3 linked regions of the Drosophila melanogaster genome follow. The protein of the gene in region 3 interacts with the protein of the main gene of each other region in a pairwise test. Each region holds a gene or a part of one and is shown on either strand. Other genes may lie near its edges. The genes, in order: Rtel1, kmr and CG10616.

Region 1 (3,757 bases), on a different chromosome or scaffold from region 3:
GGGGAGCTAGTGTGCCGCTGGTCAGGATTACGCTGCGCACTTGGGTGTTGAGCAGTTGCTCCATTCCGAAGCCAGGATTGAAGCACCAGAAGTTAATGATTTTTGCGACCTTGCTTAAGCCAGTCGCTGCTGCAATCGTTCCCTTGCCAAGCCAACCGCCCTGCTGTTTAGCACCCTGCTGCTTACCGTGTCCCTGCTTGGACTCCTCCACCAGGACATGCACTTTGAAGCTTGCGTACACCTTGCTCATCACATCCTCCTTGTTGGCAAACACAATGGTCAGTAGATCGCTAAGCAACGTGAAGGTGCCGCCCTTGCGGATGCTCATCTGCTGGGAGGCCACTAGGAGGTATTGCACCAGTTTGTCCAGCAGGGATACTATCGTTGCAACGTTGCCGTAGGTGAACTACAATAAAGGAAGTTACATTTTTAAATAGGCATTCTTTTAAAAACATTTCCGATAAGATTTAGTGCATCTTACATTCGCCTTGCCAAGCAGTTCGTACATCATGGAGGCGGGAAAGGTAGTTCCATCGACGGCGTTGTCCACAACGATGGCATCGATGGCCTTTTCGAGCTCGAGCAGCATCTCCTTGAGCAGTGTAAGGTCGTCCAGTGTGAAGTCCTTTGGCTCATCTCCAGCCATATCCTGCGACTCGCCGCTCGCAAAGACTTGCATGATATGCGTGACGTCCTCGATGGCCATGGCCACATCAGAGGACTTAATCTGCACCGAAGCGGACTCCTCGCAGATCTTCTCGATGTTGTGGGCCTCATCCAGGATCACAATAGTGTTGCCCAGTTCGATTTTGTTGGCCTTGCGAGCCTTGGGATCGAGTAGATAATTGTAGGGCATGAAGGTGATATCCGCCTGGGGAACCAACTCCCGAGACGCGAAGTAGGGACAGATCTTGAGTCGCTGGCCCACCTTGACCAGGTCCTCAATGTCCATGATGGTGGGTCCGCGCAAATCGGGATGATCCTTTCGCGACTCAACGCGCATTTGAAATGAACAGGTCTTGGAGTGCACCCGTAGCTTGCACATGTTGGTCTTGTTGGAGTTGCCCTGCTCCCGCATGACCTCCGGATGAATGCATAGCTGATCGCGGGAGCCCAGAACCACGGATCTCATGTTAGCGTACGCTGTCCTCTTGAGTTCCCGCATCGCCTGCGTCAATTGGGAGTGGGTGCGCGAGGCGTAGATGACCTTGGGCACGCCCCAGTTATTCGCACGACCCATGGTCTTGGCCAGCTCGGACAGGTCTCCCCCAGGTGCTCCGCCTCCAAGACCCGAAAAATCTGCCTTCTCCATCTTAACCATCTGCTTTTGGTGCTCCGATTGCCTGGTGCGGATCCAGGCCAAGGATGAGCACAGCAAGCTTAGGGTCTTGCCCGTGCCGGTTGGCGATTCCAGGACTCCATTCGTGCCATCGCGGAGACAATGGATCACCTTCTCCATGTACGCCCGTTGAACCGGGTACGGCTCGAACGGAAAGTGCACCGGAATGCCGGCGATCAGGCTCTCCGGCATTATTCTTAATAATACTATTTATTTACTTGTTTACGCGCCAAATCGGAGTGAACATGTGTTCGTTGGTCGATAACAATAAATGTCTGTGTAGGTGGTCAGTTATCGCTATCGATAGAGTACAGTGGACCCTGATTAAGTAATTTTATAGCGTTATCTTGAACTCCGAGTCAAATGTTTACAACTTGCATGTCAAACCCTGCGTAGTTTATTTTAAACGTAATAGTAGTACTAATCACCACCCAAAGTGCTGCAATCGTGTTTATGGTACCTTATGGATAATAGTAACTGAAACTTATAAACTTATTAGCATTGGAGGGAATACTGTAGTTGTGATTCTGTTTATTTGGATCAAAGATTAACGATATAACATTTTAAGTGAATGTTATGGATTATACCAAACTAATGAACTAATGGCATTCAAGATTAAATGTGCAGCATACATATAAATCCCCTAACAAGGTAAGTAAATATTTGACATCAATTATTACAAACTCAGTTAATTCAACCACAAATCCATTTATCGTGACCCCTTCGCTCGGCTTTTCCGAATCGCCGCGATACGGCCCCACTGATTTGGCGCTTCTCGGCCACACCAAAAAAACACAGAACGGCATCAAATCATTCGAACTTTGAGAACGGTAGTGTTGTGTTGTTATTGCTCGGCAGCAAAGTAAAATCCGAAGAGAAGCGAGTCGAACAAGAGAAGAAGAAGCGCAGGAGTGGACGACAGCAATGCAACAACAGTGACGAGGCGCCAGTGTGCAAAAGTATGTGTGCGAGTGCGTGTAAGCAACAACTCCCCGATACAAACCTACGAGCGAGAGGGGGACGGCGATAGCGACGGTCGTTCGGTCGGTCGGTCCGACCGCTAGTCGCGTCTGTCGGTCGTTCTCGCCTATGCACCTCGGCGGCAGAGCGAAAGAGAGCGCACTCTGGCTGTGTGTGTGCGTGTGTGTTCTCGCTCTCTCGCGCGGTGGTGATAAATTTCTGTTGGCACAAAGTAAAAATATAACAGAATAAAAAATCGTGGCGCGGCATATAGAAGCTAATCGAAAATTATTGCGAGTATTGGGTGGAGGAGAAACATTCCTCTTCTTGTGAGTGCGTTTTTGTTTTAGTTATTCTTTTTTTTTTTTTTTTTGGCCGGAAACTCTCACTCGAAGATGCTGCCGGTGTAGTTGTGTATGAATGTTGTACCATTTTTTTTTTTTTTGAGATAGAAAATTTAGATCTAAAATATTAACCATGCGATCCTTAGAATCGCACTTTTAAAATATGTCCACACATTTTCAAATTCGAAAGCTTTGGCGGGCTGTCGATGGGCGGGCGCTTGCAACTCTGGCGATAACGATTACCGTGCCGATAACGCGGCTGCACTAATCAGCATTATCACATGCAAATTAAGGTCATCCAAATGAAAAATGACCACCAATCAAAGGCCCTGCACCCCTTTGCCGCCCCCCATTTATGCGAAACAACTAGAAAAAGTGTGTTTATTTCTTCACCGTTTTTCGAGCTCTGACAACCCTGCCGCTGCTGCATAAGTGAATTCCGACAAAGAGCCGTGTCATTTTGTTGGCCAAAACATCGCTGCGCCGAGATTAATTAGACGGAAAAAACTCGATTACTTGAAGTGCTCGGCCCTATATCGTTTTGGTTTAAACGTGTGTGTGAGCTTTGTGGATTGCCATCAAACACAATAGGCCGACTCGTCCCCCGCAGCCACCCGTACCATTCCAACACGTCGGAGCAGGGTTGCCAGATCAACGATAAATCACACACCGCTCGTTTAATACGAATTTTGTGTTGTTTTTACTTAAGACAAAATTTGTGAAACTTAATAGATATATTTTAATTTCCGCTCAACGTTATACCTGTCCGAAGTGGGGGTATCTGGCAACTACACCGAGCCGCGTGTGTGCGAATGTGTGTGTGCATGTCCATGTGCGCGAGTGTGCGTATGTGTTTGCGCTCTTATTCAAATAGAAATTGAATGTTTTGCACTCGAATTCAAGACAATTACGGCTCCTCCGGTAAAAACACATTTAGACTGGCTGACCTAATTTAAGGTGTAAGGATGTGGGTTACGCCTGCGATCGCCGAGTGATCGTTATCGTTATCCCGGCTTTGGTTAATCGCATTCCTCCTTCTCCTCCCCCTGGCATCGGCATCCACCACATCCCAACCCCCTTTCTCATTTTTCTCCTCCATCGCCCCTTCTTCGGC
Region 2 (3,757 bases), on a different chromosome or scaffold from region 3:
TGGTTGTTGCTGGTGGCGAATGGCCAGTAGTGTGAGCCAGCAACATCAGAAAATGGCTCCATACACCGACTTGTTTTGGTGAGTGGAGTGTAGTGGAGTGCGGCGGAGCTCCTGGGCAACGAGTCTAGAGTTTAGCTGCCAGCATTTTTGTGGTTAGCTGAACTTGTTTTTGCTTTTGCTGTAATTGTTGTTTATTAGCAACAAGTTTTGCATTTTTGATTTTTTCTCTTTTGCCCAAGCCAGCGTGGCCCCACAGCACTTCGCCGCATGTCGCATTGTTTGGCCGTGAGTCAATTCCGGAGCGGGATACTAGCTCATTCGCCACGGACTGGGTGTGACTCTCAAATAAAATCCCAATCGCAATTCCACACAGTGACTGTCTGGCTAAAAGATTCAAATGATCCCCGTGTGATTCAGCAAATACCTCAAAACAAAGCCCAAAACAGAATAAGCAGAAATCGGTGAGCGATTTGGAAACTGGGTAAATAAGGCCATGCACCTTCAATCGGCAAAAAGCAAAATCATAAAAAAAAAAAAGTGGAAAAAATCTTGGCGGCAATAAGCCACAGCATCATGATCACCACGACGATCGGGCAAATAGTAAAAAACGAAAACGAAACGAAAGAAAACAAAGCGAGGGAAAAGAAAACGGCCCGAAGAAACCAGCTCTCTTCAGAAATCTTCAGCGAAGAAGATGCTCGACCTGGAGATGGAGATTCTTCTGTGAGTTAAAAACTCACTCAGCCAGTAGAAATTGAATTGATGGCTGGGCTGGGCTGGGGGATATATGGGTATGGAAAACCGGATTTGAGCCTGGGCCCCAAAACGCAGGGTATCTAGATTTATAAATAGCCGCACAGCTTTCCGATATATGGACTATATGGTATGCGCTGGTGCAGTGAAATCTCCTCTGGCGGCTAATGGGAAAACCAGGGTCAATCCAAAAACAGGTAGTTCGGAATCATTAGGTTTTATGGTGAGGGTGGAAAAACGCAGCTGGTCAAGTGTGTGAGTGTTTGCTTCGCGTCTCTTGTTTTTCTCGAGAAGAAACCCCGATTTACAAGCGATTTTACCTACCCTGTAGTTTTCGGTTCCAAAATCCAATGGGTCCCGCTCGATGTTAACTGGTATGGGTGCGTGTTGCATACGTGTTAAGTAAATTCCAATATGTGGTCTGGACTGCCTCACGTATCTTGCAGATACTTGGGCACAGCGATACTGGTTTTTTGGGATTTCGTAAAGTTGCCCGCTAGTAAACGAATGATAATGATGGTGTCGATGATGCGCCGATGCGATGATGAGTAATCCCGGCAAAAAAGGGTAAACACTAGCACTTTACATCTACTCGTAGAATGTACATCACTTCTTTTTTTTTTCCTCTTTTTCGTCGTACGGTTAGTGCAAAACCTTTACACGCTCGATGGTTTTGTCAGCCATAAAACATTGCCGCGAGACGAATCACAAAAAAACATTATATGTACATACGTACATATATACAACTGAAAAACTACCTGACGCGCAGCGTGCGCCATAAAACTAAAGACAAACACTGAAATGAACTGAGCTCTTGTTGGCGTTGTTGTTGTTGTTGTTTTTGTAATATTTTATAACGCGGTCCGCTCGCGTTTATCGCTCTCTTTCGCTCGCACTCGGACACGTCCACCTGCGTCGCCGTCTCAAAGTAAACTAAACCCAACTACGTTGAAAACAAGTTTTCGAAATGCTGCTAATGTTGCTGGCCGGCTTCTTGGCAACATTTCAAGTGGCAGCGAGATAAACAACACGCACACACACCGACACACGCGAGTGCAAACATTGCAATGTTGCTCGCACGGCAGCAACACGCAACATGTTGCCGGCGTGGTACAGCGCGGGCGTTTGTTGTTGCCGGCTTTTTGGCTGGTCGTTGGCACTGCCCCACACTCCCAATTTTCCATTTTGACTAGGGTAGTTCGGACTGCTCTCCAGATAGCATCTGCTGCAGGGGTATATTGCGTTTCGGTGGTTTTTTCATAGGTGTGGGTGGTTTATTAAATTTGCGTTTCAACGAGAAATAACGTCGATGCCCTCAATGTTTGTTTAATTCATTAGTGATTGGACAGCTCGCAAACTTTTCCCTTTTCACATTTTAAAACGATGCTATTAAGTGCAGTGGACAAAAGTACTCAAGGAAAACTAACAAAACAAGTGATTGCCCGCAGGAAAGTGATAAATTGGTAAATCGATGAAATTACCAAAAAGAAGCTGCACATAAAACAACGCCATTCATTCAGAAATTCAGAAATTCTATATCAAGAGAAATCTCTGGAATATTCTTGGTATCTATTATATATGGTATAAATGTTTTAGTTTGAATAAAGGTACACAGTATGTCTTAAGTCTTAACTTTTTTATATAAATTTATCCATCGAGGATATTTACAAATAGCTGTGTACAATAGTTTTTCCTTTTTTTCATATTTCTACAGTACCAAACTAGTCGAGTTAGGCTCTTAAGTTTACAAAGTTGTTATTTTCCAAGCAGTGCTACATCCGTTTCGTATTTACACTGAACGAACACAATGAATGCGCTTATTTGTCCCTCCTTCCAGTTCCCTCGAGATAAAGCCGCCTGCCTGGCGCTAAATATTTGATGAAGCTGCAAAAGGCGGACGAGACGACAGGCGGAATAGATACGAGCGCCAGATACTGGATAGCAGATACAGATACATTTGCACGCCCAGATGGATTGGATGGCGATGGCCTGCTGCATAGACAAGCTGTCTGCTAGTATGCTAGTATGTACGTCAGTTGTAGCTTTCCCGCTTTTCATTTCCCAAATGCAAAATGGATGTTCATCTTGGACATGTTTGCTCTCGACTGTCAAATGCTCGGCAAAGTGGGCGTTTATGGGTCGCTCGTTGGTGGAGGGGGGATCGGTGGCAGGTCAGAGGTTATGATGGTTTCGTACCTCTTGTCATTTACCTCATTTGCACTTGAGAATTTATTTCGGCCTGCTCTGGGCTACGAATGTCGTATTTACTTATTTACACTGACCTCTCCCACATGCACTCAGAAAAATGTCAAGTACTCATATCAAAAAGTAATAATAAAATAATATTATATAATTAAATTTGATTAAACTATTTGTATTTCGTTTTATAATACAACAAAATACAGAAATGTTATGTAAGACACTGGTTAAGAATATTCATTTCACACTTTTCAACAATAGCAATAGATTAAATTCATGCCAAGTGTATTTAGCATACTTCATTGCATTTTCTTGCAGTGCATTTCGTAGCCAACCAGTTGTTGCTGTTGACTTTGCCATCGTTTATCTTATCTGAGGAGATGTCGTCGCCGGATGATGATAGTAGAGACAACGCCTTTGCATTTGTCTTTACCTCAATGCGCCGCATGCCACCCCCAACACACCTCCAGTGCGCCCAGTATCCATTATCCATGGCATATGTATGAATTGCTGGTGTGGCTGTTGGGCACATGTCTTGGCATTTCCATTTCCATTTGCATTTTCAACAATTGTCAATTGTGGAGGACGCACTGCAGCATTGCGCCGGCAATGGCAAGGGACATTTGCATACGTAAGAGTGTGACGAGAGTACGTAACATTTGTCTGCACAACGACAAGCTCACTTTGATGCCATCAAAGCCGCCCCAACATCAACCCCAACCACCAGGAAGAGCAACATCCAGATCCACATCCACATCACAAACTACAATTGCAGCCAGCCAAGTTGGCAAAGTTTATGCCATGC
Region 3 (3,757 bases):
CCACCTGTTGTCGATGTCGGTTGCAGCTTGTCCACTTTCGTCTTTTTCTTTTTGATATAGGCCTGCAGATCGATGGTGTCCTCGACAACTTCGTTTTGGAGGAATACTTCACTGGCGAGCAGGTTCTTGCGCACCGACACTATCATACTCTGGAACTGGTCTTCGATGTTGACGCGACGCGAGGAGTCCAGTATGGGCAGCACATCATCGAAATCGTAGCTGCACTCCAGCTGAATCCACTCGAAGGGTTTGTCCACAAACCGGAACTCCATATTGGTGAAAGTGCCGCCGCTATCAAAAGAAATACTCATATTATATTTAGGCTAGGAAAAGTCTGAATGTAATCAAACTACCATATAAACATGAACAATCCTAATGGTTAACTAACACATAAAATGCATTCCAAGAAATAAGAAACACAAGGACAAGGATAGCAAAGAAAGTGATTATTGAACATAGAACATAAGTTATGAAAGTACATAGTTCTCAACTTTTTAGTTACCATATGATGCATTTTATGTTTGCCGTAAAATACGTTTTTTTGCAATGTCTAGTTATAAATTGTAAGCGATTCGTTTGGTGAAAGAAAGAATACACATTGAGACCCGTATCTGTGATCAGGGATTACGTTTCCGATACTCACTTGCCATAGCTGTAGTTCTTGCAGAGCACTTTCTTGTCGGCCAGCGAATACGAGAGGAATACGAAATCAGTCTGTGCAATGTCGGTGGTGTAGACGCCAAACGAGCTGTTGCTTTTCAGGAGCAAACTGGAAAAGTAAGAAAAGAGGTCATTTCAAATGGAGACTCATATCATACTCATATAGTTAGTGACTTACTCGTAAATATCTGAAAACAGCTTTTTGGCATTCTTAAATTCGGCGCTCTGTTCGTTTACTACATCGGATCTTACTGAAGACACAAAGATTCCTGCAAAGATAAATAATTCATTAATAATTAATTCTAGATGGTAAGTCCTAAAGCTTCGCTTACTTTCATCTTAGTTAAGTACCTAAGTTTACATTACTGGTTTCACTACCCATTACTGATAGCTTAAAGATTTATCTATGACGAAAGATCAAAAGTTTCGAATTGACAGATTAAACAGTCAAATTGGGTGGGTTAGCCCATATACAAAACATACAAAAAAAAAGGGTTTGGCTAAATTTCGAATCCACGGGAGGAATACAAGGTCCCCATAAATAATATGCCTTAGCATTATGACTATGATTATTTCTGGGTAGGGCAGATAAAACTGCAGGGGCAGCACGCAAACCCACCGATGACGTCAAAAGATCCGGGACACATTTTGCTGGCGCTCAGCCACTGGGAGGCCAATGCCTGTGAGTTGATGTCCGAGATGGTGAGCCGGACCTCCGACAGGTCCTCCAGATCCGCATCCTCCTCGTTGTTCCTGGCCAGGTGGACCACCACGCTCTTGGTGAGATCCGCTTGCTATTTCAACCGAAGCGGATGAAACCAGGAGAAAGTGGAGATTCAGTTGAGCGGGGGAACCAAACAAAATCTACGTGGCGGATGGCACTTACATGGCCCACGATTATCCCGTACGAGAACTGGTTCTCCTGTGCGCATTTCTCCAGGTACAGCTCGTCGTGTTTGCTCAACAGCACTGTGCGCATCGTGGCTCTGGGGTTTCTGTTTACTTCGTAAATTTAATGTTAACTATATTCGTTCCGAAATGACAAATTTTTAGAGCTGGGTACACCCCCCACGATAGTAGCTGTAATCGAATACTTGCTATCGAGGCTAAATTTCGATAGTGAGCGATAGTGCTAAGCTATTCAAATTTGAATTCAATTGCTATTTATTTTCGGATTTTAAAAATAACGCCACAATCAAGTCCATTGACCTTAATTAAATGGTGTTTGGGAATTTATTTATTTTGAATGTGCCGACTATCGATACGCACCAGCTCTATGAATTGGTGTGACCGAAGGTTATATTTTAAAAGTATGGATTATGAGGTAAATTCTTATCGATATTTAACGAAGTTTATTTAAAAAAGCTTGCCATCTCTAGAAAACTGTTAAATTTAAAAATATATTCGAAATTTTAAAAAGTGTAATTAATAAAACAACATTACCCTTTTTTTTTACTAAGAATAACTACTAAATTTTACATGTTTGTCCAAGATTTATTTAAAAAGTGTTTCAAATACCATGTGCAACATCTAGATAATATAATATATATGTTTAACAGCTCCTGGCGAGGCATTTAAAAAAAAAAATAACATTCAATAACTGTATACGTATAAATACGTAAATATACCTTATTTAAATAACTCCCTGAATGTTTATACAAATTTTATGAGAATAGGCACACTTTACTTTTATCAATTAGAACATGATTGAATAGATTTATTTATTAATTTTAAGAAATTGACAAGCAGTAATTTAAAGAAGACTCTTTGATATAGGGTTGTTTATTATTGAAATGTAATTGCAGTTTACTTTTGATTTTTCTTTACGAATCGATAAAGTCCTTGAGTGTTTATTTTCCTAATCTTTAGACACTCGACTTAGGATATTAAGACTTAATTTACCTCCGCGACTGCAAAGCGATGAAAGTATGTATGTATGTACCCCCGTGGCAGGTTCTTCAATTAAGGCCCCCGGCTCCAGCAGCAACATAATCTCCATCTCCATCTCCCAATTCCGCTGCACTGCATCAGCTGCCGTGGGGCGATTACGCACGACGTCTGGCCGAAGAGCGGACCCCATGAGTACGGATCCGTGCCACCCAAATGGTCAAGTGGCCGGTGGACTATGGCGCGAACGGACGCGATCGGTAATCGAATTAGGTAAACAAACACTCCATAAGGCGGGCGTACGTTGATAATGTGTGCATAAGCAAATAGGAGACCGTATTGGGATTGGAATTGGGATTGGGATTGGGGCTGGAACTCTGCGCTGGACGGATGGATTGGATGGACTGCGATGGATGGGGAGATCTCGAGGAGCGGGTTGCGATTGCGGCGGCGATGACGGGCGAAAAAAAACTAAATGAAATTTCATTTAGGTGGTCGCCAACGGCTGCGGACCATCTGCTTGTGTGAATGCTTGATTGTTGAAGTGCCACTTGATGGGGCGAGGGCGCACGCTACTCGCGGGGATTACACTGGCCAAAATTGGGATCAAATGGTTACGAAATATGTATATACCATATATAACACTATTCCATAGAGACCATTGATTCAACTCTTTAAATATTGCTATAGATCTTGAGTAAACTAGTAAAAAAAAATCGTAAAAAATATTTTTAAAAATTTCAGACTTTAATTAAGAACTCTTACTGTCAAGTTAAGACAAAAAAATGTTGTAAGAAGATAATTCTGTTACTTTAAATTATCCCAGAAAACAATGGAATGAAAAATATCTCAGTGCTGAAAGGTTTCTTTGGTTGCTGAGCAATATGGGTCACCGGTTTACGCAATTTCTTACCGTGCAGCGATCGGTATCCAGATATTATTTACTTAGTAAATTATTCCTGTTCGATTGTTTGCGTTTGCTCTGGATCTCTGGCATGAGGGCACTCGAACGTCATCGTCAGCAGCGTTTCATTCATGATTCGCCTTTCACAAATCGAAGAAACATATATGCACGAGTGTTCGGTGCATTGTGCACTTTGCATTCGAACAGACAAATAAATACAAAGGCAGTTCTGATCAGCTTAGTGAGACATCTCATTATCGCCAGGTGATTCTGCTGAACCATATCGTTTCGCATCCAGATTTCTGC

What was found.
Region 1: the proteins of CG10616 (region 3) and Rtel1 interact in a two-hybrid assay, tested with the Drosophila melanogaster proteins (one large-scale study listed by BioGRID).
Region 2: the proteins of CG10616 (region 3) and kmr interact in a two-hybrid assay, tested with the Drosophila melanogaster proteins (one large-scale study listed by BioGRID).

The regions. Positions count from the first base shown.
Region 1 is NC_004354.4:5,745,643-5,749,399, reverse strand, and holds the start of Rtel1 (regulator of telomere elongation helicase 1), read right to left. Parts: upstream 1,654-3,757; 5' UTR 1,532-1,653; coding exon 482-1,531; intron 407-481; coding exon 1-406. UniProt on the Drosophila melanogaster protein: A probable ATP-dependent DNA helicase implicated in DNA repair and the maintenance of genomic stability. Acts as an anti-recombinase to counteract toxic recombination and limit crossover during meiosis.
Region 2 is NT_033777.3:13,713,140-13,716,896, reverse strand, and holds the start of kmr (kramer), read right to left. Parts: upstream 1,691-3,757; 5' UTR 1,078-1,690; intron 1-1,077.
Region 3 is NT_037436.4:12,469,719-12,473,475, reverse strand, and holds the start of CG10616 (uncharacterized protein), read right to left. Parts: upstream 1,749-3,757; 5' UTR 1,640-1,748; coding exon 1,547-1,639; intron 1,455-1,546; coding exon 1,280-1,454; intron 930-1,279; coding exon 839-929; intron 770-838; coding exon 644-769; intron 551-643; coding exon 503-550; intron 292-502; coding exon 1-291. UniProt on the Drosophila melanogaster protein: May play a role in the trafficking of a subset of G-protein coupled receptors.